Xenopus tropicalis: one gene and its partners. The protein of the gene in region 3 interacts with the protein of the main gene of each other region in a pairwise test. Links are inferred from orthologs where the notes say so. Each region holds a gene or a part of one and is shown on either strand. Other genes may lie near its edges. The genes, in order: tnip3, plekhb2, dazap2, smap2, rnf208, hip1 and exd3.

Region 1 (4,092 bases), on a different chromosome or scaffold from region 3:
AAAAGTTTTATACCTAAAATATGTTGGGCCTTTACATGCCCGCTTTCAAATATAAAAGACAAGTGACACGTTTACAAAGCCGTGTAAGAACTGGTGCAAGTTAAATGGAATTGTAATGAATTAACACAATGCATCACAGTAGTGTAAATTATCTATTATAAAGAACCAATAGCAATATTTATAAGAAGTGATTATGTATGCCAAACTAATGCCATAATGCACACAATCATATTACACCACCTTATACCTGGCATAACCTACTGAAACTACTGTAACAAATTCAGGCAGCAATGAAATTTCCAAAAGTGGTAAAAAGCCTCCACCTCTTTATACTCTAGATTAAAGACATAAAAACATAACACAGTTTTATAAAAATGTGGCTTTTCAAATACTTTTCTTTTGCACAGCTTTATAAATAAATGAAGCAGGCAGACCTGGAGTTGTGGTGAGGCCACAAAGGCCTGGGCCTAGGGCGGCAAGAATTAAGGGGTGGCCGCCCCGCCGCACAAAGTTGTGTTCCCATACGGAGCAATGGGGACTTATATTTGGTACAGGTATGGGACCTGTTATCCAGAATGCTCGGGACCTGAGGTTTTCCGGATAAGGAATCTTTCGGTAATTTGCATCTCCATAACGTAAGTCTACTAAAAATAATTTAAATATTTAATAATAGCTTTGCTTGCCTTCAGTAAGAATTAATTATATCTTAGTTGGGATCAAGTACAAGGTACTGTTTTATTATTACAGAAAAAAAGGAAATCATTTTTAAAAATTAGAATTATTAGCTTATAATGGAGTCTATAGGAGATGGCCTTTCCGTAATTTGGAACTTTCTGGATAATGGGTTTCTTGATAAGGGATCCCATACCTGTACTGTAAGGCCCAGTCCTGATATGGAACTTATTTTCCATCCCCTTATTACTTATCTAGAATGAAACCCTTTATCCAGAAAATTGCAATATATGGCACTGCCATATCCCATAGAGTCCTGTTTAAACAAGCATGTCTTAATTTTTTCCACATTTACCTTCTCTGTAATAGTTAGTCACTTGTACATGATGGTAACTAAGCTAGCATAAATCCAGAAATTCTATTTTTTTAATATTTAAATGATTTCTAGAAGCCTTGTGGGTGAGTGCCCAAGCTATGTTTAGATGCCGTATCCTGAAAACCCCAGGTCCCAAGCATTTCAGTTATATTTCTATACATAGACTTATTCATATTCATTTATAAACAGAGGCAGCCAGGGAATGCATGCCAGTAATATATGACTGCCGCCTAAACCTCCCTTACAGGCATTTACGCTGAAAATGAAAACAACAATGAAATAAATGTATTATGCAATTTAAAAAATGATGTTGTTATTTCAGTATGTAAAATCCTGTGAGCGCGGTTTCTCTGTTGTTTTTCAAAGATGACATGAAGAGAAGACTAAATGTTTCCATTTCTTCTGATTATATGTCATTTTAGGCTGGGTATGGATTGCTGCCTAGTGCAAGAGCAACGTGTTTCCTGAGGAAGTCTTTGTGGTTTACTGATACATTTTGCTTGGCAGCATTTTCAGTGACTTCTCTATAACTTTACAAAATGCATGTGCGTTGGTCAAATTGTGTGTTGTGCACTACGGAAATACATTCACAGAAACTGATTGGTGCACATTAGGTATTTTCATTGTATAAGCATCTGAAAAGAGCTGGAAATGTTCATGTTTTACTCTTATTAAAGCTACAGAACTCATCTTGAACAAAAGGTGCTTTATTGGACTCGCAAAAACCCATCTCTCCTTCCTGCTTCCTAACGGGGTAAAAGGACACAAATACTACTATTCTTTTGTATTTGTAATTCTTCTTATTATATATGCAGTATTATATTCCTATTACAGAGCTCCCCACAAGTTAATTGTTTAACAGGTTTATTTTTCTGTCTCTTATGAAAGTTGCCCTGTCAGACAGATACTGCTGGGTTCAAGTCCCTAGTCGGTTTGTCTACCGATCTTAACAATAAACATACATATACAGGACTCAGCACTCACAGGGTTTTACAAAAATAGCAAAAATATTCTTTAATGTGCAAAATCAACATTTCAGCCACATGTTTGGGACCTTTTGCTATTTTCTTAAAGCCCTGTGAGTGCTGAGTCCTGAGTTTCTTATATTGTACACTTGATTACCCTGCACCCAGGCAATATACATACTTGATTCCAACTAAGATCCGATTAATCCTTATGGAAGGCAAAACAGTCCTATTGAGTTTAATAATTAAATGATTTTTAACAGACTCAAAGTATGGTGATCTAAATTATGGAAAGACCCCTTATCTGGAAAAGCCAAGGTCCCAAGGCATTCTGGATAACAGGTCCCATACCTGTATATTTATTATATATATAATGCAAAAAACAGGGCACTCACAGTACATCAGTTAAACCTTACTAAATAATAAAGCATACAAACAGAAGATGTACCCTACCGGACTGCTGGGCTAACAAATACAAGGGGTCATTTATGACTGCAAGTACAGTTTTGGAGTTACTAAATTGGGCACATGAAAAATCCTATTGATTAAAGGCTCTTGCGTCAACATGTGCTCCTTGCACTTCTGTTGCGCTGAAATAACACGGAGCAGAGCACAAATCGCTCTCATGCCATATGCTGGAAATGACACTAACTTTCAGTGCCATTGTGACTGATTTGTGTCAAAGAGGTACAACTGTGTCAGCTGCATTTCTAGCAGGCGCAACTCCCTCTGGCAACTGCAATTACATTGGGATTATGGGGAAAAAAACATGGAGATGCGTCTGAAATTGCACTTTTCACACTGTAAGTAAATGACAACTAAAGACTGATATTTAGGCTGTTCCTTATATTTTCTACTCGGTTACACCTCTCTATCCTTCCTTTACTTCTGAATTACCTTTACAAACCTTTACTTTGCTCATCTCCCTTAGCACGTTCTTGCTCCCTTTCTGTTGTTATCTACTTCTGTCACTCTCCTTCCTTGTGCTCATCTAAATCAACTGCATTGGCATTCCTTTTTTATATTAATCCAGTCCTATTCCCTGTCCGTTTTACTGTATGTTACAGTATTATCAATAAACCCTGAAGACAGTTCTGTGCTGTAATGTAAAGTTATTAGTCACCTGATTAAGGCGGTTAATTTCATGCTTATATTGCTCCTTTTTCCTGCTGTACAAAGCATTTTGTTTCCTCAGCCAGTGATTTTCTTCTTTCATGTTAAGCAGCTCCACATTAAGAGTTTCTCCCTCTTTCTAGAACAAAAGTGCACTTATTGAATATGATACATCTGCATGCTTCATTTTAAAAGTAAGCTATTGGTTGGCAATATTTCAAGGCAAGATTTTTCTTTTGGAAACATCATAGAATAATATGTATTGATCTGTATATAGAGTTTAAAGTATCTATGTACTAAACCAACTTTCTGAGAGATGATGTGCTGTCAAGGATTAGCAAATATGAATTGACTGTTTGGTAATGAACCTTATGGCTGTACCCACTCTTATGATTGAAACCAAGCAAGAGGATAAAGTACAATCTACACCAATATGTTTCACAAACCATTTATTAAACAAGGAAAAAAGGATTCAAGAGAAGTTCAAACTGGGTTTTTTTCCTTTTGCAGTTCACATAAGCACAAGGGAGTGTGGCCCTTAACGCCTGCCTTTGTGTCTGACATTCTCTGTTTCTTGTACCCTCATTGATGTGCAAAGTAGGGCATGCCAGGGAAAGTTCAGCTCTTTATTTTGTGAGGTTATGGGCAAGGGGCCCAAATCGTAAAGGTGCAAAGTGTGTATATATCCTATTTTCAAAACAAATGTGTAGGAAGTAAGATTTGGAAACTATAGCATGTTTTTCCAATCATAATAATAACTGGACAAAAAAAAAAAAAAGTAACTCGACATAGCCATGATCAAGTAATAATATTGAGGGAATCTGAAAGGGTGATCCATATCTGTATTAGCTAGTTGTAATTTGGTTTTGATTCCAAGTCAAGTGTATATTTTGTGGTTCTGTAGAAATTCCTATGAGTCAGGATTCACTTCATTACAAACTTTGTTTCGGTGGGTATTTTAGCAGT
Region 2 (4,589 bases), on a different chromosome or scaffold from region 3:
TTGCCCCTTATTTTGGAAGCAAAACATCTTTACTCATCTTCAGAGGCTACACTATTATTGCCATAACAGCAAAGTCTGCTATTCCCCAGTGTTTACAGAAATCCCAGAAGAATGAATGAGATTGTTGTTTAAGCTCTGGGTTTTCCAATGTTTAAACACAGTAGTGCAAGAATTTCAATTCCCAGAATATTGGATCGTAACTTTTATTGTGCTTAGATACACAATTCATATTGTTAGCCCTGCTGGTTATACACGTATGGAACATTTACATTAATTAAACCCAACAGGACTGTTTGCCTCCAGTAAGTATTAAATATATCTTAGCTAGGCTAATGTACAATGTTCTGTTTATTATTACAGAGAAAATGCCTTTTTAAGTCTATGGGAGATGGCCTTCCCGTTATTCTGAGCTTTCTTGAAAATGGGTTTCCAGATAATGGATCCTATACCTGTACTGCAGTGTGCTACTAATACAGGTAAGGGACTTGTTATCCAGAATGCAAGGTACCATTTTATTATTACAGTTATGGGACCTGTTATCCAGAATGCAAGGTATTGCTTTATAACAATTATGGGACCTGTTATCCAGAATTCTGGGTACTGGTGTTTTCCAAAAGAGAGGTATTTCCATAATTTGGATTTCCATACCTTAAGTCTACTAATAAATAATGTAAAAATTAAATAAACTCAATGGGATTGTTTTGTCCCCAGTAAGGATTAACTATGTATTTAGACAAAGTGCAATGTACTGTTTTATTATTTCAGAGAAAAGGGAATCATTTTGAAAAAATTAGAATTATTTGATTAAAATTGAGTCTATGAGAGATGGCCTTCCTGTATCCTTTCTGGATAATGGGATTCTGGATTACAGATCCCATACATGTACAGCGAAAATTAAAATAATTTTTTCAAAGTTTCAATTATTTAATTAAGGGTGATGGCTGTCCCGTAATTCGGAGCTTTCTGGATAACGTGTTTCTGGATAACAGATCCCCATACCTGTATTTTTCCTATTCCCTCTTTTTAAAGGCCATTTCAACATTAATATTATCTAAGGCTGTGACACTAAGGATTCAAGCATGTGATAGTTAGAAATGTATTTGTCATGCAATGTCAGTAGTGCAATAAAAACTGAAAGAAACCTATAGTTAAAGTGTTCAGTATTGGTGTTTGTTGGTACAAACCTGCAGGGAAACATGAGTTGAGTCAGAATAAGCATTGTTTGTTGCTATAGAATGCATAGAAACTACACAGTATGGCAAAGGCACTGAAAACCACCATGTTCCTGTACCTTGAGAGTACACACCATGCTTCCCTATATAAGTGTAAGGCACAGTATAGCAGTATGTAAGGGTTCTGTTGAACTATAGGATAGCACAGCACACATCCAGGCACTAGTAGAGTTCCTGTGCTACAGAAAGCCCAAGGGCCTATGTTGCTACGCACTTTAAGAAACAAACAGGGCAAGCAATGGCACTTTTACACTGAATCACAACTTTGCAGGCAGTTCCGCTTGTGTAATCATTGCTTAATGAGCTATATTTTCCCCCAGAAGCAGGTGATTCCCAGTGAAAAACAAAATGTAAATTAAAGGAACTCCTTAGGGAATATATTGTGTATTAATGTAATGCATCCAATGCCACAACTAAACGAGTCCTTCTCGTCATACAGCCTCAGTCCATTTGAGTTATATTTCATAAATTAAACAAAGAGGGACTTCAATCATTATTAAACGGATAGTTCACCTTTAAATTAACTTTTAGTATGTTGTTGAGAGTGATGTTCTGAGGCTGTGGTACATTTCAACATTGTATCAGCCAATCACAATTGGCAAATGTGCTAACTGGGGGGAGAGTGCTTGTTGCAACCTATGAACTCAATGTAAAGTGCTACTGCACACTTACAGAAAACAACACAACTTACCCTGACAAAACTGGCCAATTACACCAAACCACAAAAAACAACATATGCCGATGTTGTTTTATTATTATTATTATTATTATTATTATTACTGTTAGAGTAAACATCTGCAAAAATATATAAGGTTAAACTAGAGGGTTCATTTACTACAGTAGCCTTATGTGCTCAATGTGTAATCGGACGCAAATCACCATGTTTATACCCACAATGCTGTGTTTCCCAGCAGAATTGTAACTTCATGTGGCGGAAACAAGTTAAAAAGCATACACTAGTGGGCTCAGCAGTGCTGGTGTAAATGGTGTAAATTCTAATGCACCACCCAATAAAAATACCCAAGGAGATGGCAAAACAACAGCACAACAAGCTCACAAGCTCACACCATGTTTATGATGAAAAATAACATTCTATATTGCTGATTTGTTGATTTCCTTTTTTCTGTTCCATAAAATCAATAAAAATCTAAATGACAAAATTCTAATGCACATAATCCATAATACCATTAGTGTGTGATTGACTGTACAGAAGTCAGTTGTTACGTTGGCACAAACTGCTAAAGGAAGCCTGGCATTACAGAGTCCCCTTGTGCCATTCTGCCCTGTACTTTGAACAAGTGATGAGCGAAAATTTTAACCAGGTTTTGTTACGAAAGATCACCCGTAGACTGCAATGGCTGCAAAAAAAAGCTGTGCAGTACACTGTAGCTGCAAAAAAAAAAGCCCATTGACTTTGATGCATTACACAAATTTTTGTCATTTCTGACTACAGTTTGAACATGTACACACTTTATTGGAACAAGCTAAATGGACACTACACAAAAGTTGTAAGAAGCAGAAAAGAAAAGGGCTTATTTACATTTGGAACGTGGTTTCTAATTGTCATAAACTATTTTCCTTGTGCACAGAATACATAGATAACAACTATAGCAAAAAAACATACATATAGATATAAATGCAAGCACTCGTACCCTTCCTCTCTTTCTCTTTCTCATGATGGGGAAGATGAGGCTCCTCGGCTGCGAGTTTGCTGTTCATGCTGCAGTGAATATGTTTGCAGACTATGAGGTATGATGTGTTATTAATGCGGAACAGAAGGAGCAGGTAGAAAGGCAGTGGGATAACGAAGCCACAGATAATATGGATATGTTTGTTTCTGGATGAGAACAAGCCCTGAGTTTACTTAATGCTGTTGCCACCCATGGGAATAATGCTGATCTGCTGAATACTGACATGATTGTCTTAGAAGAGTTTATTCATTTATTTATTTTTGCAAGGTAATTGGAATAGACATCAGGAAATTTTAGTTAGGTCTTGCTTCTATAGCATAGGCAGAGTTGTGCTGGAGTTAAATGGACTACCTTTAGTTAATGATGACTAATATAGTGTTCAAATAAAGAGACTAACCTAAGGGTTCTTACAAGGGACTAATGCACTGATGCGCAGGTAAGTAAACTTACACAAGCAATATGGGTAGGGTTGCCACCTGGCTGGTATCTGACTTGCGTGGCCGGTAAATCACCCGGTAGGGCCAGCACTGGTATTTCAAATTTATTTACACTTGTATAATGCCCTATAAATTCCTCCCTTCGCTGACCCTCTCTGCTGCTAATCACCCTTTATAACCACAGGTCACCCCTCTGCCCCGCCTATTACCCCACCAATTTCTGGGCCCCATCCACTTTTCCCTCCACCCAGCCAGCCCATTTACCCACCACCCACCCCTTACATCATAGCCCTGCCCCAAAATGAAGTCACAACCCCACCCCCAACCCAAAGGCCAGATAGAAAAAGGTGCCAACCCTAAATATGGGGGTGTACTCATAGGGCGAAGATACATGGGGTGATCAGTTGCCACAACTAACACTAGTATACAAGTTGTCGCAACTAATCACCCCGTGTGTCTTCTCCCTACCTATTACGAATGTCAGCTATATATGTAAATAGATATATATGGGATCCTTATTTGATGGAGCAGGACGCAAAAATAGGTCTCCATGGTCCCGCTGGATAATGTGAAGTTTCTTCTCACAATAGAAAGTAGCAATTAAATGATATTGTTTGTAAGTTTGCAGTTGAAAAGCTGATTCTACTAATTATTTTGGGTTCCCTGCGATAAAAAGGCTGCCCTAAGGGCTACATGGATGTTCTGCCCTGTCACACTAAGCCCAAAGTCTTAGTGCTCTTTTGTAGGTCCTAGCTGGGGCTCACAGCAGTGTAACCTTTACTGTAAATAATGGCATGGTTGGCACAGTGTCAACATAAGACCTGCACCAGAGACAACAAATTGGTGCAAGCTGCATCTTTCTATCTGCCACAGGAATTCCGTTTGCCTGTGTGTCACCTCCATGCCGATACAAACCCTTCTTTTAACTTCCAGCCCTTCATATATCTCGCTACATCTGTTCAGTTGCATATTAGCTGGAAATAGCACGTAAAACAAAAGCTCATCCATTACTAACAAATGATTCTGTTATAAAAGTGTCCAAACCACCTGACATAGGCCTATAAGGACCCGAGTGCAACAAACCATGTATACCTATCACTGTAATCTGTTACGTCAAAAAGTATGAGTAAATACCATTTTTATATGCTGGAATACAGCTACAAAACAGTTCTTCTCTTTCTGCATCATTTAAAACCCTAGCAGGAGAGGAGGGAGTAAAACATTGATGT
Region 3 (4,699 bases):
TTGAGAAGGACCTGTATATTGCTTGAGCGCATGAGTCCTATTTTGTTTATAGAGCCATGAAAGATATTTAAAATATTATATGTCATCCATTGGTTCCTTCCCCAATGGAGCTTACAATTGTAGGTAACACATACATTAACACTACTGCCAATAAGCTGCCTATGTGCTTTAAAGAAGTCAATATGGCAGCTGAACCCAAAAGCTGCCAAACTCCACCTATATGACCCTGGTTTTAAAAATTTAGATCATCTTCAGTTCCCATAAAAATGCAGCTAATCTAGGGTTGTGAGGAAAGTAAAGTTGCTTAGATATTTGTCTGAATTCCATGGTTTGTTTCAAAGATTTATATTAATATCATAATTATCACAAGATTGCATAACAGAAAAAAATTAGTTTTCACACAAACAGAAATTTTGACAACTGCAAAATTTGGGAAAACTGGAGATAAATATTAATATACCAATTAAAATTCAATTTGGCTTATAATCAGACTCATCTAATCAATTTGACTTGGGATTTGGGAGATGATGGAAAACAATATTTAATCAGCCTAAAGGAAACACAGAGAATCCAATAGTCTTTATAGTCTGCATATGTTTGTGTTGTATTGCTTACCTACCAAGGTTACCAAAATCCTTCAATGATATTCTGGCCTCTGAGTAACTATTTGAACTTTTCAGGTCAGTCACTCAGAGGCCATCATTAAAGAATGCTAGACTTCATGCTTAAAGATTTTGTGGTGTACTTTTTATTTCTAAATTACACTGTTTAGCAAATAATTCACTCTGCCATTTAAAATTTTATTCTTGGATCAACATGTATTTTTTTTAGTTGTAATTCTGGTGTGTAGGCGCCATCTCAGTGCATAGTGTCTCAGTCTGAGCTTTCAGAAGGAGCCAGCGCTACGCATTAGAACTGCTTTCAGGTAACCTATTGTTTCTCATACTCCCATGTAACTGGAGGGGGCCCAACCCGGACTTGGATTTCTTACTATTGAGTGCTATTCTGATACCAACTGGGAGCTGCTATCTTGCTCCCTTCCCATTGTTCTGCTGATCAGCTGCTGGGAGGGGGGTGATATCACTCCAACTTGCAGCTCATTAAGAATATGGCTAGCTCATGGGTGACCAGACCTTTTCCGTCTGTGATCGACGATGACCGGGGAATGCGGAAGTGCAGCGTGAATGCGTACTGCTGCCTCCAGGCATGCCCAGAAGGCTCTCCAGGTCAACTACAGGTAGTCGAATTGAAGAGAGAACTGAACAGGAAGTGGGGGCGGGGCTTTACTCTGCACAAGGAAGCAAAGAAAAACTATCAACTTCTAACTGAGGAACCAGGTCAGAAAGAATGCTGGGACAAAGGTAGGTAATTCTGGAGGCTGTTTAGAGTAATTTTACTGATAGAAAAAAAAGGTTTACTTATTCTTTAACCTAAAGTTATGAACAAAGTAGCACTCTAATTTGCTCAGCAGAAATAATCAAAGATAAAAAGACAAAATACTATTCTTTACCCATAACAAGTTCAAAATAGGCAGAACATTTTTGGTTCTAGACTAGAACAATAAAATCAAAAGCACTGTAAAACTTCAAGTCTCAAGTATGAGATTCTCAAGAATGTCACTCTGAATAGGCAGAAACATTGGGAAGACCTTGAGAATCATTAGAGAACAACCCCCTCTGCAATGAAAAAGTTAAACAAGTATTATGACATTCTTTCATAAAGTCATCCATATAATAATTTATTTGATGCAATCTCCTCTTTTTGCTGCTAAAATGGGCGAGGAATTCCTCTTTGTTAAAACTGCAAATTGTTTTTGCACCTTATCAAATGTATATTTATGAAGCTATTCTGAAGGAGAAGGAAGCTCAACACCCCAAGCAGTGAAGCGATATGGAGTGGCTGATATTTGTCCATGCACAGGTGTGCAGCAGCATTAAATTGGGCACAGTTCCACAATGACAATCTGTGATTCTGGCAAATGCCAGAGGGGCTGCTGTAAGATACCATAGACCAGGAGTCCCCAGCCTTTTTTAAAAGTGAGCCACATTCAAATATAAAAAGAGTAGGGGAGCAACACAAGCACTATGGCTATTTGGTAGTCTCTATGTGGACTGGCAACCTACAGGAGGCTCTGTTTTTTTATGCAATCCAAATTTGACTTCAATCCAAAAATATGCACCTGCTTTGATGCCACTGGAAGCAACAGGGAAGGGGATGGGGAGCAACATGCTGTATGTGAGCCTCTGGGGATCACTGATATAGACAGGCACTATTTATTGGGGGTTGTGTAGGGGGGCTGTTTGGGCCTCTGTGTATTTAAAAAGCCAGGGCCTGGTTTAAATCCCAGTCCAAGTCTGATTAGACAATGTTTCCAGTGCAGTACTAAACTCTACTACAAATGTACTTTGTTACTGGATTACTGCTCTTCAGTAGCAGAGTTCTTGTTAATTCAAGAGTGCCATGCACAAATACCATCAGCCTGAAGCCTGGCATGGTTGATGATAGATTGGTAAATATAGGTTGTAAGTGCTGGATTTACTTGGATGGGTTGGACTTGATGGACTCTGGTGTTTTTTCAACCCTATGTAACTATGGTACTATAGTTGCCGACTGGCCTACTTAGTGATCCATTTGCCACTAAATCCTTTATAAAGCGCTGGAATGGAAGGCAAATGACACGTCCGATGTTCCTTAGCGAGGCACATACACAAGGAGTTACACAATCCCTGCCTTACACGGTCAGAGCGGTGCGCACACAAGCAGGACGGAGCCGGAGCTGGTTACCAAGGTATAAACGTATTCTATAATACGTCCGAATTCCTAATATTTATATATATATATTCACTCGCTCAGTGACTAATAGAGCCCGCCCCTAGAATATACCCACCCAAACCATATACTTCCTAATAATAATAAGCAGAGGGACTCGGTTATAGAGTAAGTCCCAGCAGGGCCCCAAATCACTGGTATCAGTGACATCATAACGCCTTGCAGCAGCAGCAGCTCCGCCAGGTCGCAGTCTCAATCCCAAGGTGCATCCTGATCAGGACAAACAGCCCTAGCAAGCGCAAAGCACAGTGAAGTTGCCGCTGAGCTCCGGAGGGGCCATTACTTGCCTTTATTATTCATTGCCCCGGGTTCACGTCTCTTGCTCGATCTGTATTTTCTCTGTGTTGTTGTGGGAGATGATTCCACTTCCGCTTCTATCTACTTCCTTGTTGTGTTTTTTCACTCTACGCAGATACGAAAGCGCATTCCTGCTGAGCAGCGCCCCCTACCTGCACTTTCATTTTGCGCGGCTTTATTGCAGGCTGCAGCTTTTGGCTTGCCTAAACACGCATTTTGCTTTTCATAGACCCAAGGAATGGTACAACTTATGGTTATAATTAGCCCATTAGGTAACATAGTAGCTGCTTTACTGGAAATGAGTAAAATTTTCTTGCTTTTGTATCAACAGATTTTTACCATTTTGTATTAACACTGGTCTAGGATATCAATTTAGCTCTTTCCCTGTTGTCCAGGTTATGGGCTGTTTGTAAAAAAATTGCATTGTTGGGGAATGCATTTTTCTTGTAAACGTAGGTGCTATGTCATTGGTTGGCTGACACGTTTCTTTTCAGGTAAAGGGAAAGGCTTATGTCCCACGGAGTGGTTTAGTCGCCCACAATAGATCTGTGTTATCGCGGGTGACTGCCCTCTACGAAATGCCTATCCACCAGCCACGCCGGTAGAAAGCCATTGCTTGCATTGCTTCAGTTTTCATAAGTCACACAAAGATGCCTGCTGGAGGAAACTTTGTATGACTTTGGAATACCAAAGCCATGTGAAGGGCTTTTCACAAGCAACTCCTATTGTTGCCAGTGGAAATGCATTTTGGAACAGTTAGTTGCCTGCGATAGCAGAGATCTATTGCAGGTGACTAAACCGCTCAGTGGAACATCAGCCTTAGTCACTAGAGTCAATATATTAATATTACATGCATGCAGTATATAATGGAATTGGTATACATTGGGTAATGTAATAAAGGATGCAAAGTTCATCTGGGTCAATTAACCCATAGCAACCAGTCGGATTCTTGATTTTATATAGCTGACCAGTAAATTCTATCTGCTGATTGGTTGCAGTGGGTCACTAACCTAAAGCAAATTTCGCACCTTTTATTATATTGACCCCTTAACACCCAGATACTGACCCTCACTACTCTATGCTACTATTGGACCTGACAGGAACTGTAGCCCATGCAGTGCTAGAACCTAACTCACAACTCTCCTGTAATTTCTGTGTGTTTCCTTCTTATCATCACCTTTGCAAATAACCCCAATGCACTGGCCTTATTGGCTGGGACTTCTCTCCCCCAGCTGAAAAATTTTTACGTAACAAAGGTGTCTAGGAGCAGCACCTGCTGTAAAAATTGTGAATTTTTTTAAGGTTATTATTTTTCACCTTCACCTACTTAATTTATATTGAGAAAAAATACCCCTTATTGTAAAGGGATATTATAAGTCACTGAAGAGTTTCAATACTATGTAAAGGCACAATATTGCAAGAGCATCTTCCCTTTTGAATCAGTTTTGACTAACAGGAGGAGTCAGAAGTCAGGGGAAGATGGTGCCTCTGAGCTTGGAGGGGGAGCAGTGAAGGATGGCTGAAAATGGGTTAGGGTTTTTTTCTACTTTAAGACAAGTGCAGGTTAGAGCTG
Region 4 (4,864 bases), about 54 Mb from region 3:
CAATCCTATTGGGTGTAATTGCTGTTTATATAATGTTTAAGCAGACTTTAGGTATGAGATCCGAATTACGAAAAGCCCCAGGTCCCAAGCATTCTGGATAATGGATCCCATACCCGTACAGCTTATATGGTGTGCCACTAAGGATACAATTTTGTATTTTAAACTTTCTTCAAGTCTACTTTGCATAGCCCTTAGAAAAGTAATACAGGTATGGGATCCCTTATCCGGAAACCAGTTATCCAGAAAGCTCAGAATTACAGAAAGCCCGTCTCCCATAGACTCCATTTTAATCTAATAATTCAGAATTTTAAAACTGATTTTCTTTTTCTCTGTAGTAACAAAACAGTACCTTGTACTTGATCCCAAATAAAATATAGATAATCCTTATTGGATGTAAAACAATCCTATTGGGTTTAATTAATGTTTTATTGATTGTTTAGTAGACTTAAGGTATGGAGATCCAAATTACAGAAAGACCCCTTATCCGGAATACCCTCGGTCCCGAGCATTCTGGATAACGGGTCCCATACCTGTACCACAAATGTAGAAACATAATAAGCATAGTAATAAATGTTATGATGGTAGATGTTTCGTCTCTATAGGTAAGTTTTAATATATATTATAATGTTAACCTATAATTTGATATGTGTTCAACGTTAACCCATTAGAGAAGTTTGTGCTGAAAGTTTATTCTGCCTATTAAAAAGACACACAAAGTGTGAAATCTATTTGCACTAACTTCTCACTACAGTCATTGTGGATAGAGAAGGACTGATACATACAAGTTTATTCACCTATGGATAAGGAATGATTTCAAAAAGATTTAGCATATCTAGAGCATGAGCAATCACCCCAAACTTTACCCTCCTTCCTGCAGAATAGCCAGCCCCACAGATGGGGAACCCATGCCCTTAGCGACATAATAGCCTGTGTCAACAGAAGAAACCGTTCTGATAAATGTAAAAGAATGCATAAAACAAGAGTTTTAATTTTATGGAAAAGCATTTCAGGGCCCCAGTAACAGCTTAAGAGTTTATATGCAACAGCACAGTAACAGTTTCTATGGCTGCTTAATACTGTGACTTTGAAACAGCTAAATATATAACTAATTAATTTCAAAGCAGTAGGAGAAAACTATCGTATGGCGCAATTAAATACGCATCAGGTTAAATTACTTCCTCATTTCTAATCTATGTCAATGAAAGGGTAAGGAATACGGACCAGCAACTATTCCAGGAATTTTGAAAGCAAAATATGCTAGAAATACATATCACCACAATATCTGCTCTAACAATATCTAAAAATATCTTACTGTTATAATCAAAAAATGGAAGCAGCAAATACACAAAATGACAAACAAAATAACTGAAGAATCTCTGCTCTACTGACCCTTATTCTGTACTGTTGAATAAAAACAGCTATTACTGTTTGCTCTGGTTAAAGATGACCTTACACTAATGCATAATGCACACTGTATGTGTACACTGTCAACACAAAACACCTGATTTGTGTACACATAACAGGTATTTATATACAATTATAGGTAGCTATAACCTACCTTTCCCTCTGGCATCCAACATGATGGGTTACAACTTTGCATACCGAGTTGATAAGTAAACAGTGGATCAAAATATGATATTTATAGGCCAAATTGTGTCCCCTAGTCCATAAGTAGATAAGGCAAATAAAAACCTTTTTCACAGTCACTTAAATTAGCACCTTATAATGCAATAAACTTTCTTAATATGACTGCAACAGTATAGAGCCATTATCTATTAGGAGATGAACAACAAGAAATGTTAATCACAATCCAAGCATAGGTTTCCACACTATAAGCATTTCAAGCCTTGCCACATTAGTAGGATCTGCATAGGTTACATAGGTGTGTGTATGCATGTTTACATCAATCAGCAGCACAGAAGGTCCTATTTACTACCCATTTACTGTTCCATCTGTGTTGCAAAGAAATAAAACATGAACTGCACAGAAGACGTAAGGTTAGCTTTAGAACTACAAAGATTTTCACACAAACATTGGGGTAATCTTCCAATACAACCACGCCTCACATCTATTTGTACATTGTTGTATTTGTAGTGCCTAGTAGCTGTAAGCCCTTACCTGTAAAGAGCTACCGGATACAATGGTACGATCTGAATATTAATAAAATTATACCGGAAACTATAATGGCACAAAATGCGGGTCAATTTTTTGACAAAACAACATTTACATGTCTGATCTGAACAAAACAAATTGTGTTGGGAATCTGCTCAAATTCGTGTAGTTCCCATTCGTTCAGTCCTACAGGCAAGTGTAAATTGTAATCACCAGAATGGATGAATGGGCTACCTGCCTGATCCAGGTATACAGAAGCTGCCAAATGATCACATCAGAGCTTGTTCAGTACAATTTGGTTACCAACAGCTAAACTGCTTTGGGAACTAATGCTTAGAATGTGCCAGCCTAATACTGACCAGGAGACAGTTCTAAGTCATACGAATCTGCCCATAGATTTTTTAGCACCTGGCCATTGAAGATGATAACACTGGGGTTGACAACGCTTGACATCAATGCAGATTTATGAACAGAAATATAATCATACGTTTAACAAAAGGGGAAATCATCTCCTCACGACAAAAGCCGGTTGGCACATCTGATAGGGAAGGGATAGGGAGTTCCATCGCTAAAGGTCACTACTATAAACGGGTAGCCGGTTACCTTTAGCCAGACAGTCAGCGCAAAACTTGTTCTCCTCTCGCAAAAGAAGCTCGGAGAGCACTGCCTGGTACCGCTCCACATCACGAACCGACTTCCCGGTCATGTTCCCGGGAGACAGTAAGATGGCCTCTTCGGTGCGGCTCCTCACTTTCACTTCCTGTTTCCTGGTCTCCGCCTCCTACCCATGTTTAGAAGTACGTCACGCTGTCCTGTAGTTTAAACCAATCGAGCGGCTACAGCTAGTCACGCCCCCGGAGGAAAAGGTATGAATGGGCTCTGACTCATATGCGAGTGAAAGGGAATGTGTTCTTGGTTGTGGGTGCTGGTGGCTAGGTCACAAGAGAATGACTCGTAACAACGCGCCTATCCTCTCCCACTCCTCATTTGCTACGAGAGGATGCATAGCCTCATTTCTCTAAAATATATTCTTCAAAAACTCACTCTACTTTGTAATTCCGACTTTGGCACTTGAGGATTTTGCATTCCTTTTGCGCGTTAAGGGGCCAATTTATAATGCTGTGTAAAATAATTTTCGCTACAAAAACTGTCAAAAGCTGTATAATATAAAAGTGTGTTTTATTTTACACCAGTTGAATGCCAGATTTTATGCTGTTATCTTCCACCAATTTAGACCTTGTATAAGTAAGTTTTAGTGGACAGTTGCTATAAGGAAAAAAAAAACAAAAAAATTACACCATTTTTTTATGTGGAGAAGCCTGGCAATGTGTTGCCATTTTTACACTGGATAATAAATCTGCCCATAAGTGTGACACATTGGCACTTCAAGGGCCCACACCCCGGCTTATCACAAAAGTGATATATTTAGGTTAAGCACCCACGGAGCGACTTAAGGTCCCCATACACGGACCGATTCTAGCTGCCGATATTGGTCCCTTAGACCAGGGGTAGGGAACCTACGGCTCGGGAGCCAGATGTGGCTCTTTTGATGGCTGCATCTGGCTCCCTGCCAAATCTTTAATAAAAAAAAATAACGTGAAGCGTGGCCTGCGCTTAGCGGATAGAAGACATGTTCTATGCCTTAGAACACATCTTCTATCCGCCAAGCACAGGCCACGCCCTCCTCCGCGTCCGGCATCCTTACCGGGTTGCACTTGAACCAGGGCCCAGGGAACTGAGAGGGACATTGGAGCAGAAACCTGTCACGCTTGAATTGAAAATAAAATGTGGCCAGTATGTCTCTGTTGGGGCTACAAGCCATATTGAACAGCTAAAGATGACACCCACCCTACCTTGCCCCACAGCATCCGCGGCCTTCGGCCTAGCTCCCGTTGGCCATTGTATGGCTCTCACGGAATTACATTTTAAAATATGTGGTGTTTATGGCTCTCTCAGCCAATAAGGTTCCTGAGCCCTGCCTTAGACCGATTTGGCAGCTAAGCGGCATGTGTATGGGCACTACCAGGGCCGCCATCAGGGGGGCACAGGGGGTACGATCGTCCCGGGCCCGGGCATTTTTAACTTTAAAGGGGGCCCAGCCGCGCTAGAGTTTCCTTAGCTCGGGCCCCCTTTAATCAAGTCCGGGCCCTACCCTTTATGGCGTGCTCCGCTTTGTCCCGCGGCTCCCTGCTACTTCTGCGCTTTTATATGGTTGCGCCTGTGCGTACTGACATCACACGCATGGGACGCAACCTTATAAAAGCACAGAAGTAGCGGGAGCTGCGGGACATAGCAGAGGACACCACAGGAGCGGAAGAAAGCAGGAGGCCGCTGGGGTGAGCTGGAGGACGCTTGGGGACCCGGAGGACGCTTGGGGACCCTGAAGGATGCTTGGGGGGGAGGGAAGGGGGGAGCTGGAGGACGCTTGGGGACCCTGAAGGATGCTTGGGGGGAAGGGAAGGGGGAGCTGGAGGACGTTTGGGGGGCCCTGAAGGATGCTTGGGGGGGCCTTGGGGGAAGCAGGAGGATGCTGGGTGTGCCCTGAGGGAAGCAGGAGGATGCTGGGGGTGCCCTGGGGGAAGCAGGAGGATGCTTGGGGGGGGCCCTGGGGGGAGCAGGAGGATGCTTGGGGGGGGCCTGGGGGAAGCAGGAGGATGCTGGGGGGGAGCTTAAGGATGCGGAAGGAAGCAGCGGGGAGTGGGCCATAGTATGAGTAATTTGGGGGAGGACCACAAATGTTTTGGGGGGCCCA
Region 5 (3,875 bases), on a different chromosome or scaffold from region 3:
GGGAATGTGTGTGGGTGCAGTTTGTGCGCAGGAAAGGGTGGGGGTGACAGAGTGTGGCCCCCGCAGCAGCTTCCTGAGCGCTCGGTATTGTGCGAGTCGGGCAGGAAGTGACTGAAGCGGCTGCACTGTCAGATGGAAACCATTGTGGCAGCGGCAGCACCCACTCACCCCCCCCCAGCTCTTCTATAGGTCCCTGGGGTCACCCAGCAGCACCCACATATGTGAGAAAGAAATGAAAGGTGGTTCCCCCCCCACACACAAGCCCCCCTCTAATTGCCCTGGGGGCTTTATTTTATATTCCCCCACTTATGGGAGGCGGCAGTGTAATGGGACCCATGTCCCTATGTACTTTTCTGTCCTTCAGGCCATTGGCTGGGTTGCGGTTCATGGTCACGGGGGGGGGGGGGGGGGGGGGGGGGGGGGGCAGTGGCCCTTGGAATATACCACCAGTGGTTCCATGGGGGGGGGGTTACACCCGGGACTGTGTACCCAGAATTCCCTCACATAAGCTAATAATCATAGCAATGGGGGGCGCTGTAACGTGTGGCTCTATGGGGCCCATTGGCTCTGGGCTGGAAGTGGTGGGACCCGGTACTGCAGCCAATCACAGACACACGTTCCCAGTACCGACAGAGGCCAAATCCCAATAGCACAGCATTCCCAGGGACTGTGATAGGACTGGGGGAGAAAGCTCCGGGTACAACACTGCGGGGGGGCTGTATCCTTATTATTATCAGCTGGGGGCTACATGAAAGTTTGGAGCAAATAATAGACCGGGTCGGTTCTGTGTTGGAGCCGTTTATGTAACTGACAGGGGCACAATCACCTGGGCCGGATGGCACCCCCACAATCCCGCCCCCCATACACACAATGCGCCATTTGGTACCCAATAACCCTTCCTCTGCCCGAGGGGCCCCAGATGCGTCGCTCAGCAACGGCCCCCGGGGGTCCCTCCGGCAGCTGGAAGCCCAAGTGGCCCTTTCCGGCAATAAGTTAAAATATATCATTTCTGTGCATTTCAGTCAGCGAATCAGAACAAAGCTTTGGCAAAAGAAACTATTTGGGCAGAGAGTGACGGGTTCCCTTCTGGTTGGGCCCCTGGGGGGGCGTTGGTGCCAGCTGGTGGTTCCGTTGTGCTTGGTCTCTGCGCTGGCGATGCCGGTCCAACCAGATTGGGGGTGGGAGGAGCCACAGAGAGATGGAGAACCCACACACCGAGATGCAAGTAGAACCCAACTGGGCCATCGCTATGATATGGAACTGCAGAGTCGGGATTGGGCGCCCCACTTATATATATATATAAATATCCAGTTCCCCAGGGGCCCGGCCAGCAGTACCAGGCTACATGATGGTGCAGGAAGACAGCGGGTTCCGGATGTGGCAGGTACAGGCCGCCCCGCAGTACTGGCGGAAGGTCTGGTAGCAACTGCGGTCGGTGTCGCTGCTCCACTGCACCTGATTGGCCGACAGGGCCTCGGTCGGCAGCCGGTTGAGGATGCTGGTGTTGACCGCCAGGGCGGCCAGGCCATAGTCAGTGAAGAGCACGGTCTCCCGCTTGCAGGTGGGGCAGGAGATGAACTTGTACTTGGGGCAGGACTCGTAGAGGATCTGGAGGCACTCCTCGCACACGGAATGGAGGCAGGACAGGATCCGGGGGCGCTTGTTGGTGAAGTTGTACATGTGCCCGCAGGTGGGGCATTCCAGGGGCTCGCAGGGGGTGGAGGGGTGCAGCACGTACTGGTTGACGATGACTTCATCCGAAGGGGTCTTACGGTGGTAACAGATCTCGGCGCTCGGCTTCCGTTGCCCCGGGTAGATCTTCTCCCTCCGCGGAGGCGGCGGTGTCCTGGTCGGAAGCCCCAAGGCGTTGGGGGCGGGTTCCAGGGCGGGCATGTCCCCGCAGGCCTGGTTGACGATGATCTCCGAGTCCGAGGGCCAGGCCCGCTTGGCAACCAGCGGGGGTTCCCTCCGAGACGGGGGGCCGTACCGAGGCTGAGAGTTCTGGCACTCGGAGAACTTCTCGGCCTGGATGATCTTCATGGCCTCCATCTTGATGATGACCTGTTGCCCCTTCAGACAAGACATAAGGATCTTTTTCACATTACTGTCCGCAACTTTGTTTTCTCCCAGCGCCCCCTGCATGTGGCTGGAGTTGTGATGCCCCCCCAACACCTAGAAATCCGGCACCGGCACCGCTGGGATCGAGGAGGAACCAGCAGAGCGAGAGAACCTGGTGCAGATGACCATGACCACTTCTACGGGCCAATCGGGTCCCACTGGGGGGTCAGTTCCTGCGTGACATCCCCTCCAATTGTCAATATGCGAATGAATGGAATTATTCCCGGGTCCAAGTGCTCTCGGAGAGATGATGGAAAGGTCTCTGGGCCTGGAGGTTCTGGAGCGAAGGGGGAACCGATGCAGACATCTCACAAAGCAACAGTTGCGCTGAGGAAAGTAAAGACCCCACCCCGAGGGCAAATGCACCTCCCCAAGTGCTATTCCTCTTTACATGGGAGGCCGGGAAGTCCCCTGTGCTGACACTTCACTCTCTCTCCAACTGGCAGGTCCACTAAGTTCTGAGGGATGAGGGACCGGCTCATTGGGAACCACATTATCTGAGCATCCTGCAGAGCAGTCCAAGGCTAGGAGTTAGGTCTACTGAAGAAGCCAACTGTAATCCCAATGGCCTTACTAGAACCCAAGCATGAAGACCAACTGTAGTCCCAATGACCCTGCTAGAACCCAAGGATGACGACCAACTGTAGTCCCAATGGCCCTGCTAGAACCCAAGGATGAAGACCAACTGTAGTCCCAATGGCCCTGCTAGAACCCAAGGATGAAGACCAACTGTAGTCCCAATGGCCTTCTTAGAACCCAAGGATGAAGACCAACTGTAGTCCCAATGGCCTTCTTAGAACCCAAGGATGAAGACCAACTGTAGTCCCAATGGCCTTGCTAGAACCCAAAGATGAAGACCAATTGTAGTCCCAATGTCCTTGCAAGAACCCAAGGATGAAGACCAACTTTAGTCACAATGGACTTGCTTAAACCCAAGGATGGCGACCCAATGGGCTTGCTAGATCCCAAGGAAGGTGTGAAGGACCAATTATAGTCCTGAAGGCCTTGTCTTGGCTACTTGGTGGCTCCCACTGGTCCGTTCAGCACAGATTTGCTTCCCTGGTAGGAGTCGTTACCTGTAGGACAGAAGAGAGACAGGTGAGCAGCTCTGAGAGTGAGACCGCACAGTGTCTCATTAGACTGCAAGCTAATGGCCAAGGCTGTCTATGGTAATAATGAAATGACTAGAAGGTTCCTAGTGGATCGGTTCCTGGTAGTGCCCCAGTACTTTGCCTGGTGTAGAGTCCGGGGCGGGCAGCTCATCATATCACACATTCTTCTCTTCCCAAGTGCCCCCCCTGCCCCCCATTCTGTGTGGGTATTGGACCCACTAGTGGGAAACATAAGGACCCCCCCAGCCATAGAGGGATCTCTCAGAGCACAGTAAGGAGGGAGAGTAAAACCCCATGGGTCGGTGCTGTTCTTCCCTACATAATGAGTACAGGCTGGCAGGCTGGGCATTCTATGGGCACTGCCACCCCCCCGGCCATGGGTGAATGGGGAATGAAGGGGAATTGGGAGGCAAAGTGACGACCCAACAAAGAAACATGGCTGATCCCTGCAGTTCTATTGTTCTACATACAGCCCCCACTGCCCCCCCCACATACACGCACCTCTACATAAAGCCCCCCCACATACACGCACCTCTACATACAACCAGCCCCCCCCCCACATACACGCACCTCTACATACACCCCCCCCACATACACGCATCTCTACATACAGCCCCCCCACATACACGCACCTCTACATAAAGC
Region 6 (4,756 bases), about 94 Mb from region 3:
CTTTCCCCCTCCCTCCTCACACTGTAGGCAGTGTATGAGTATGGGCCTCTGGTCCTCCATTGTATCAAATAAACCAGATTTTGGCATGATGCAAAGCTTGTCATAATAACAGTATCCACAAAATGGTGCCTGCCTGCTTGTTATAATAGTGTAATTACAAGACTAAAGGAAACAAGATTTTTAAATTTTATATAGTGTAAGTGAAGTTTATTTTGCTCAACTAACATGGTAGAAATACATTTGGAAATATTTCTGAGGTGACAGATCCCCTTTAAAATGGACTGGACTAAAATAGGAGAAAGTCTATGGGAGATAGATAATGGGCTTCTGGATACGGGATCCTTTCCTGTACTAGCAAATTATGAATGCAGAAAATGTTTCGCAGTTTTGGATACCATTGCATTGCCATATTCCTCCTAATACTTTAGCCACGTCCAGGATGAATTTACTATTATTATTTATTTTTAAAGCACCAACATACTAAACAGCACTTTACGGAGTTTATGCATCATTTACATCAGTCCCTGCCACAGTACGTCATTAGAGAAATTAATGATTCTACTTGGTACATGAATAACCAAGTATATATCCTTGAAGATACCATTGTATTATGTTTGAATTTAATGCATCATTTTAGAAATGTGTTCAGCAAAATTATCAAACCTGACAAATACTGCAAGGATGAAAATAACCAGAAGTCAGTAAAATATAAAGTCCCGATTCCTTGTTTCTATTCCTTGTTTCAGGTTAGTACCCCTCCCAGGTTTTAGTACATACAGCAGTCTTGTGTGCTATGACAGCATGGCTGGATCCTAAATTTATTGTAAATCAGCCCACCAGTAAAACAGACTAGGTGACTGAATACAATTTTCGAATACAATTTATTATTATTATGTTTTATAAAGGGCCAATATATTCTGCATTACTTTACAATAGAATGAGGGATACATTAAACACACAAAGTATATACATCAATGATTCAGTAAAGATGGCCATGCTTATATAGAGTATATAATTAAACAATGTTAAATTTAATACATTCATTTACTAATTCAACATATATATAGCCTAATCGTAGAAAAATAGAACTAGCCCAGGCAGATAAAAGGGAGAGTAGTAATATGCAACCTGTAACCCACATGGTGGGATGCTGAAAGTTGTAGTCCACAAATTCTAGAGAACCACAAGTTAGTAGGCAAATATTTGCTGTACCCTGAAATATGTATGCTACTGAAACGCAACATGCTTCACTTCAAGTGATGTTACTCTTATATTAGAACATTATAACACCTTTAAAATGAAGCCACAAACAGAAAAGCTATATTATATTTCTTGTTGCTACATAAACAGATCCAAGAGGACCAGTTTTTTTGTAAGGTCCTCTGCAGCCAATCAAACAATAATGTATATTTTTAAATACATATATATATGTATCATATGATCAGTGATCAGTGTACACGTTTATCTTTGTTATTGTCAACCATTATGCAAAGTTACATTTAACAAAGCTGCGTAAAAGACATGACTAGACCAATTAACTGACCCATTAACTGATATATACGTATATAAAATGGCTCCAATTATAAGTAGGTCTTATGGTAGCACACTAGCTTTGCCAGTCTATAAGGGTGAATGTTAAGAGGTATCATGGAGTAAGTTTTGGGTCACACTCACCATTTTCCCAGCATCCATGATTTCTGAAAATTCCCTTGGAAGTTGGTAAGAAACCCCTCAGGCTGACAGATTGCCTGTTGCTGCAGACTTAAGTGCCCGAAATAGTAATGATTGGTTAACAAGGTGATTGAAGCAACATGGTGACCCTGTGTGAGGTACAATAAAAACACAAAGAAGAGGCATAATGTGAATTAGGAACAACTTGCAAACTAAGCTGTAGCAAAAGGCTAGGGAGAGTTATAAACTAATAGGACAGGCTTGAAAAAAACCCAGTCTGGAAGTCTATGGCATGAAGGCAGCACAAACCTGAGCAGGCAGGCTGAGCAAAAAGAGGACAGAGTTGGATGGGCTGGTTAGAACAGGCATATTTGGGTGGGCAGGTTGTGCAAACAGATTTGGATTGGCGGGTTAGGACAGGCTGGTTGACATAGACAGAAGTGGGCAGGCAGGAAGGACAGACAGACCTAGACAGACTGGTTGATACAGGCAGAAGTTGACAGGCACGTTGGACAGATGGACCAAGGCAGGCTGGCTGGTATAGACAGAAGATGGCAGGCAGGCTAAAAAGACAGACCAGAGAAGGGTGTTGGGGTAGACAGAAGTGGGCAGGCAGATTTAGGCATACAGGCAAAGGGATAGTTATGAAGTGAAGGGGTATACAGAGAATGTTAGAGATTTCCAGAGAGAGCAGGGTACTCACTGGCTGTGTTTATCCCAAATCCAGAGAATGCCAATGCAATGGGCAGGCGGAAAGGCAGTGATGGAAAGTGGGGGTGGGCACAGATTGGTGCGGACAGAGCCCAGGGCCAGCCACACAAAAGCATCCAGCAACAAGACACGGACAGATGGCACAGGGAGCAGCAGCAGTCACCCAGATAAGCCAGGGGAGAGGGAGGGGACGGTGTGAGTGTATAGGGCACAGGGAGCGATGCAGGACACACTCAGCACTACTGGGCACAAGCAGCAGCACACTCCCACAGAGGGAGCGAAGCGCACTAGCCAGCATGCAATAACACTACTTGCACAATAGGCAGGGCAGGGATGGAGAGGCAGGGAAAGAGCACAGTACATTTAGGGTTACCAGACGTCTGCGAAGATCCAGCTTTTCCCTTCTTTTCAAAAACAAGTATCCGGCTGGAATTTCTTTACTATTAAATTAAGAGCGTAAATTTGCCCTCAGTCCCTAACTTCTGCAGCTTCCCACCCCTCCCCTTTCTCCATCAATCAATGTATTTTCCCTCAGTGAGCTTCTGCAGCTTTCTGTACCTCCCACCCCCCCATCCTCTGGTGCCTGTTACTGTCTGTTCCGCCTCCTCCATTCACGCTGCTGAGGCATCAGAAGCTCTGCAACAGCAGCCAATAGGCTCGAAGCTGTGCCCAAGCGCACTCTGATTGGCTGAGGGATGCTCCATTCGCAGGCGCGGGAATATGTAGCGGACAGCTGGCAATGTTTGCTAGGGGTGCAAGAGGGAAGCTGAAGATTTTCTTTAAAGCATTGGCAATTATAGGATAAAACAGGGAAATGTTACTGTCTCTGAGAGGTTAGAACACAAAAATGCTGGGCGCAGTAAACACACTGTTACTGATGTGAGCCCTGACCTTGTGAGGACTCTGGATAAACACTACTTGGACAGAATATTTGAGTGGGTTTTATCTTACTGCGGTGTTAATAGCCGTTAACAATGTCTTCCACAATATTCCATATTAAGACTTTATTACTCAAACGTTGTTTAAAGAAGAGTGAATGATTATTTTTCACTGATTGTTTTCTTTATACTATTTAAATTACTTCAAATTTAGATTTTCTCAACCTGCCATACATTGGCTGCATTTTTTGCCTCTTCATGGAGTGTGCATTAAAATCTAAACTAGCAATAAATACTCTCCAAAAATCCATAGGCATTGTTTCTATATCTATAGTCATCAATAAATCCAGCCCTTGGACAAATATTAGCACTTCCCCCCAAGTCAAGTGATGTACAGAGCACATTTGTTGCATTTCCAAAGGTTTTTAATCATTTGATTTGACATTTATTAAGTTTCTTCATTTTCCAAATCATCCCTCCTCTGACCTAGTCTAACAGTGTTGCTTAGCATTATCTTTTATGGAGATTGTGCCACATTGCAGTTACACAGCTAGAAAGTGCCATTGTCACCTCTGATTCACTTATTTATGTGAATGAGAGGGTGCAGTAGCAGATTTTAGCTAAAATATCACTTGTTTTTTTCCCATTGCTTTATTCCCAGAATATTTGAGACTTTTAGTTTTTTTGCATATGGTTTCTTTTGATAGAGAAAGATAGAGAGACTGATGTAATTAGTAACAGGAGATACTAAACTTTTGTCCACAGAGAAGTCAGCTGTTGACAAACTGGATAGAATTATGTAAATTATGGGGGGTTGGGTTGGACATATGCTGTATTTGGGGCAGAGAGCTCAAATGCTGATGAACTAAAAAGATGTACTCAGAGTTTAACTGAGGTAGAGCGAGGGCAGAGGCTTGTGAATAGAGGAGAGATGCAAAGACTGTTGCTAGAGGGGGCTATATTAATGTGGTAGTCACTTGTTTACAACTGGTCTGCTACATAAATAATATCTGGCACTATTAATATGTAGCAGGAACTACTAGTTTATTTACTAGCAGCTTATATTCTGAAACAAAATACTCCCTTTCTTTTTTTTTTTTTTTTTTTTTTTTTTTAACTTTTTTATTGAAAATGATAGTTGTATAACAATTTCGTCACCATTGTGTAGTATTACATTTGGTACATCAATAAACTGTTCATTTGTTAACTATACATATTTGGTATGTTTCATACTTTAAATGGGGAAGGGGGCATGGGGGGTGGGGAGGAAGGGAAAAGGTAAGGGAGGGGGGTGAGAGGTGGGCAAGTCGGGATCTTGCTTTTTCAGGGTCCCGGCTTGCTGGGGAGTGAAAGGTGGAAAACAAAACTTGGAATGGTGGGGAAAAAACTGGTGTTATAACAAAACATTATATCAAGTTGATCCTGTTGGGAGGCTTCTGTATTCTTCTCACCGAGATCCGGGTACTACCTATAGGTTTTCTTTACTCATGTGTCTC
Region 7 (4,092 bases), on a different chromosome or scaffold from region 3:
ATTCTGTACAGGGGCCACAGAGCCCACTCTCTATTCCGGGGAACCCCAGACTAGTAATTATACTTGTGGAAGCCCCAATGCTGCCCTTGGCTCATACCAATGGAACAGCGCCCACTAGTGGCCAAGGTACCAAGAAACCAATTTCCTGTGCCCAGAGCATGCCATTACGGATGGGGCCACACTTGCAATGTAGCCTCCCCCCCCACAGCCAACTAGGGCAATCCCATGTGACGTGGGGTCCCAATCAACCTCACTTATGCCAAACACGTTCACAGTCACCCTAGATAGGAGGGGGGACCCCAAGACGTGAAGGGGCCATTAATTTGCCAGCCCCCTGAACTAATCAGAACTGACAGGGCCCTGAATGCGGGGAGGCAGTGAGGCGTGCACTGACTGCCAGACGAGCCCTCTGTATGGGTGACAATGGCTCCCCCCCCCCTCGGCCGGTGACAAGAGCGGCCATTGTCCTCTCCCCCCGCCACTCTGCCTTTTGGAGTGCAGGAGGGCCCTATTCAGCCACAGACACTCTTTCAATAGGGCCTGGAGTGTAACATAAGACGTGCGTGAAACCCTAGCCGGCCCGCTGGAAGCCGGCCCCCGTCAATGCCACCTTTGATTGCCGCTGCTTCTTTCATGAAACAAAGCAAAAAGGGGCAGAGACTGAAGTAAAAAGGGAAAAGTGGCAGTTAGCGTGGCGGCCATGTTGGATTTGCAGTCTGGCTATTCAGAGCGGGAAGGAGTTAATAAACACTATAGGGTCAATATGTAAAGGGTTTTATCATTTATACTGGAGGGATGGAGATTTCGCCATCAGCAAAGAAGAGCCAATCACCTCTTTGTATTTGCCGCTGCGGTGCAGGTGGGTGACCTGGCCCAATAGGAAGGCTCGGTCGGCCTCCGCGATCCGGTACATGTCGCTCAGCAGGTCCAAGAGTTGCCCTTCCGAGACCAGGCTCAGCGCGCGGCCCTGGAGCTTCCTCAGCCGCAGGCCGGACTGCGCAGGGGAGACCGTCCAATGGGATTAAACAACAGATAAACCAATCAGATCATGGGCAACTTTAAATAATGAATAAGACCAATTGAAAAGTTGCTTAGAATAGGCCATTGTATAACATAATAAGCGTTAGCTTATGGGGCCCTCCGACAGGCCCTGCCCCTGACCAATATCTGGCCTCAAATTGGGCAGATGTTGATTGGACAGGCTTGAGTTTTGGCCGGATCAGGGGCCGCATTGGCTCATTTATGATTGGGCAACCTTGCCAAACGAGCCAATCTTACTGGTTACGCCCACCTTTACCTGCCGTGCGTCCGGATTGGCCTTCAGCCACTGCTGGAACTCGTTAGCAATTAAAACCGCCAGCGAGTTGCCTTTCCCCTTCCAGGTACTGGTGACCTCCAGCAGGTCCAGCAGCGCCACTAGCGGCTCCTCCAGCGTCGAGATCAGCTGACCAACCACCTGGCGGATCTGTTGGACCATAACGGATAATATTATTATTATTATATACAGATTCTGGGGCTTGCCCTTTCCCAGTCTTGGCTTGAATATCTCCTTAAAGGGCCGGTTCACATTTAACTTCTAATATGTTATAGATTGGCCAATTCCTAGCGACTTTGCAATTGGTCTTCACTTCACTATTTTGCACCATTTCTGAATTACTTGCCTTGTTCTTCTGACTCAGATGGGGGTCACTGACCCCGGCAATCAAACCCTATTGCTCTGTGAGGCTCCAGTTTTATTGTTATTGTTACTTTTTATTCCTTATCTTTCTATTCAGCCCCTCCCCTATTCATATACCAGCCTCTCATTCAAACCCCTCCCTGGTTGCTAAGGTAATTGGAGCCCTAGCAACAGGATAACCGACCCCAGCAGCCAAAATCTATTGCTCTGTGAGGCTCCAGTTTTATTGTTATTGTTACTTTTTATTCCTTATCTTTCTATTCAGGCCCCTCCCCAATTTATATTGCAGTTTCTCATTCAAATCATGGCGTGGTTGCTAAGGTATATCAGACCCTAGCAACCAGGTTGCTACTGAAATTCCAAGCTGAGCAAAAAACTAAATACCACAAGATATAAAAAATGAAGACCAATTGCAAATTGTTTTGGAATATCAATATCTACAGCATATTAATGGTTAATTTTGCAGTTTCTCAATCAAAACCCTGCCTGGTTGCTAAGGTATATAAGACCCTAGCAACCAGGTTGCTGCTGAAATACCAAGTTGAGGAACAAAAAAAAACTAAATAACTGAAAAACCATAAAATATAAAAAATGAAGACCAATTGCAAATTGTCTTAGAATATCAATAGCTACAGCATAGTAACGGTTAATTAAAAGGTGCACCTCTCCCTTCCTGGGGGGGGGGGGACAGTAGATCTCACCTGTAAAACATCTTTCTTGGCCCAAAGGCTCTGCAGGGAGCTTAGGATCTCGGAGTGATCTTGCTCTGCAAGGGACCAATCACAAACCACGTAAGTAAATGCCTTTGTAGGTAAGGGCAGAATGTACCTGCGCAAAGATGGCCGCCGCTGTGCGAGTCCCCCAGCATGCACCTTCCTTCCTGGCACTGTGGGAAATAACAGGAGAAGCGAAAGGGGCTGGGGGGCGCCCCCAGGGGGATGCTGGGATTCCCTCGCTGACCTCCAGCTCTCGGAATGTGACCGGCCCAGAGACGGAACATTAGAAGGGATGATCTTTAGCCCCGGGGCGGGTCGGGGGGGGGGGGGGGGCGGGTTCAGGGGGGGGGGAAAAATTATATTTTACCCAGTTTTTGATTTTTCCTGCCCTATAGACCTTGCTCAGTGCATATCTGAGGAGCCAATAGAATCCCAGGATTACCGAGTGACCCCGCCCCCCCAGTACCAGAATCCCATTCACTCACCTGTATGGTTCATGTCTGACATCTCTCAGATCCGATGGGGCCTCCGACCCAATGCCGGTACTGAAACAGCACATAATCATTATTATTATATAGCGCCCACATATTCCCCCTGCGGTACAGTGAGCTTACACTCTAATGTCCCTATCCCATTCCCATCAGTCCCTGCCCCAGTGAGCTTACACTCTAATGTCCCTATCCCATTCCCATCAGCCCCTGCCCCAGTGAGCTTACAATCTAATGTCCCTATCCCATTCCCATCAGCCCCTGCCCCAGTGAGCTTACACTCTACGGCCCCTATCCCATTCCCATCAGTCCCTGCCCCAGTGAGCTTACACTCTAAGGTCCCTATCCCATTCCCATCAGCCCCTGCCCCAGTGAGCTTACAATCTAAGATCCCTATCACATTCCCATCAGTCCCTGCCCCAGTGAGCTTACAATCTAAGGTCCCTATCCCATTCCCATCAGCCCCTGCCCCAGTGAGCTTACAATCTAAGGTCCCTATCACATTCCCATCAGTCCCTGCCCCAGTGAGCTTACAATCTAAGGTCCCTATCCCATTCCCATCAGTCCCTGCCCCAGTGAGCTTACACTCTAATGTCCCTATCCCACTCCCATCAGTCCCTGCCCCAGTGAGCTTACACTCTAAGGTCCCTATCCCACTCCCATCAGCCCCTGCCCCAGTGAGCTTACAATCTAATGTCCCTATCCCACTCCCATCAGCCCCTGCCCCAGTGAGCTTACACTCTAATGCCCCTATCCCATTCCCATCAGCCCCTGCCCCAGTGAGCTTTCACTCTAATGTCCCTATCCCACTCCCATCAGCCCCTGCCCCAGTGAGCTTACAATCTAATGTCCCTATCCCACTCCCATCAGCCCCTGCCCCAGTGAGCTTACACTCTAATGCCCCTATCCCATTCCCATCAGCCCCTGCCCCAGTGAGCTTACAATCTAAGGTCCCTATCCCATTCCCATCAGTCCCTGCCCCAGTGAGCTTACAATCTAAGGTCCCTATCCCATTCCCATCAGTCCCTGCCCCAGTGAGCTTACACTCTAAGGTCCCTATCCCATTCCCATCAGCCCCTGCCCCAGTGAGCTTACAATCTAAGGTCCCTATCACATTCCCATCAGCCCCTGCCCCAGTGAGCTTACAATCTAAGATCCCTATGCCATTCCCATCAGCCCCTGCCCCAGTGAGCTTACACTCTAATGTCCC

What was found.
Region 1: the proteins of dazap2 (region 3) and tnip3 interact in binary tests that used the Homo sapiens proteins (3 or more experiments, as listed by UniProt). The two-hybrid records come from large-scale screens. The link is inferred for Xenopus tropicalis from reciprocal best matches to the Homo sapiens genes DAZAP2 and TNIP3.
Region 2: the proteins of dazap2 (region 3) and plekhb2 interact in binary tests that used the Homo sapiens proteins (3 or more experiments, as listed by UniProt). The two-hybrid records come from large-scale screens. The link is inferred for Xenopus tropicalis from reciprocal best matches to the Homo sapiens genes DAZAP2 and PLEKHB2.
Region 4: the proteins of dazap2 (region 3) and smap2 interact in binary tests that used the Homo sapiens proteins (3 or more experiments, as listed by UniProt). The two-hybrid records come from large-scale screens. The link is inferred for Xenopus tropicalis from reciprocal best matches to the Homo sapiens genes DAZAP2 and SMAP2.
Region 5: the proteins of dazap2 (region 3) and rnf208 interact in binary tests that used the Homo sapiens proteins (3 or more experiments, as listed by UniProt). The two-hybrid records come from large-scale screens. The link is inferred for Xenopus tropicalis from reciprocal best matches to the Homo sapiens genes DAZAP2 and RNF208.
Region 6: the proteins of dazap2 (region 3) and hip1 interact in binary tests that used the Homo sapiens proteins (3 or more experiments, as listed by UniProt). The two-hybrid records come from large-scale screens. The link is inferred for Xenopus tropicalis from reciprocal best matches to the Homo sapiens genes DAZAP2 and HIP1.
Region 7: the proteins of dazap2 (region 3) and exd3 interact in binary tests that used the Homo sapiens proteins (3 or more experiments, as listed by UniProt). The two-hybrid records come from large-scale screens. The link is inferred for Xenopus tropicalis from reciprocal best matches to the Homo sapiens genes DAZAP2 and EXD3.

What each region holds. Positions count from the first base shown.
Region 1 is NC_030677.2:71,470,143-71,474,234, forward strand, and holds part of tnip3 (TNFAIP3-interacting protein 3), read right to left. Parts: intron 3,266-4,092; coding exon 3,137-3,265; intron 1-3,136. UniProt on the Homo sapiens protein: Binds to zinc finger protein TNFAIP3 and inhibits NF-kappa-B activation induced by tumor necrosis factor, Toll-like receptor 4 (TLR4), interleukin-1 and 12-O-tetradecanoylphorbol-13-acetate.
Region 2 is NC_030681.2:126,782,177-126,786,765, forward strand, and holds the start of plekhb2 (pleckstrin homology domain-containing family B member 2), read right to left. Parts: upstream 3,011-4,589; 5' UTR 2,952-3,010; coding exon of another isoform or gene 2,885-2,951; intron 1-2,884. UniProt on the Homo sapiens protein: Involved in retrograde transport of recycling endosomes.
Region 3 is NC_030678.2:142,300,512-142,305,210, reverse strand, and holds the start of dazap2 (DAZ-associated protein 2), read right to left. Parts: upstream 3,167-4,699; 5' UTR 3,130-3,166; coding exon 3,117-3,129; intron 1-3,116. UniProt on the Homo sapiens protein: In unstressed cells, promotes SIAH1-mediated polyubiquitination and degradation of the serine/threonine-protein kinase HIPK2, probably by acting as a loading factor that potentiates complex formation between HIPK2 and ubiquitin ligase SIAH1.
Region 4 is NC_030678.2:87,996,906-88,001,769, forward strand, and holds the start of smap2 (stromal membrane-associated protein 2), read right to left. Parts: upstream 2,912-4,864; 5' UTR 2,819-2,911; coding exon 2,716-2,818; intron 1-2,715.
Region 5 is NC_030684.2:1,807,786-1,811,660, forward strand, and holds rnf208 (RING finger protein 208), read right to left. Parts: upstream 2,164-3,875; 5' UTR 2,143-2,163; coding exon 1,342-2,142; 3' UTR 783-1,341; downstream 1-782.
Region 6 is NC_030678.2:48,793,190-48,797,945, reverse strand, and holds the start of hip1 (huntingtin-interacting protein 1), read right to left. Parts: upstream 2,926-4,756; 5' UTR 2,756-2,925; exon of another isoform or gene 2,744-2,755; intron 2,721-2,743; exon of another isoform or gene 2,375-2,720; intron 2,352-2,374; exon of another isoform or gene 1,981-2,351; intron 1,821-1,980; 5' UTR 1,693-1,820; coding exon 1,675-1,692; intron 1-1,674. UniProt on the Homo sapiens protein: Plays a role in clathrin-mediated endocytosis and trafficking. Involved in regulating AMPA receptor trafficking in the central nervous system in an NMDA-dependent manner. Regulates presynaptic nerve terminal activity.
Region 7 is NC_030684.2:2,932,843-2,936,934, forward strand, and holds part of exd3 (exonuclease mut-7 homolog), read right to left. Parts: intron 2,940-4,092; 5' UTR 2,902-2,939; coding exon 2,880-2,901; intron 2,445-2,879; coding exon 2,380-2,444; intron 1,466-2,379; coding exon 1,292-1,465; intron 995-1,291; coding exon 833-994; intron 1-832. UniProt on the Homo sapiens protein: Possesses 3'-5' exoribonuclease activity. Required for 3'-end trimming of AGO1-bound miRNAs.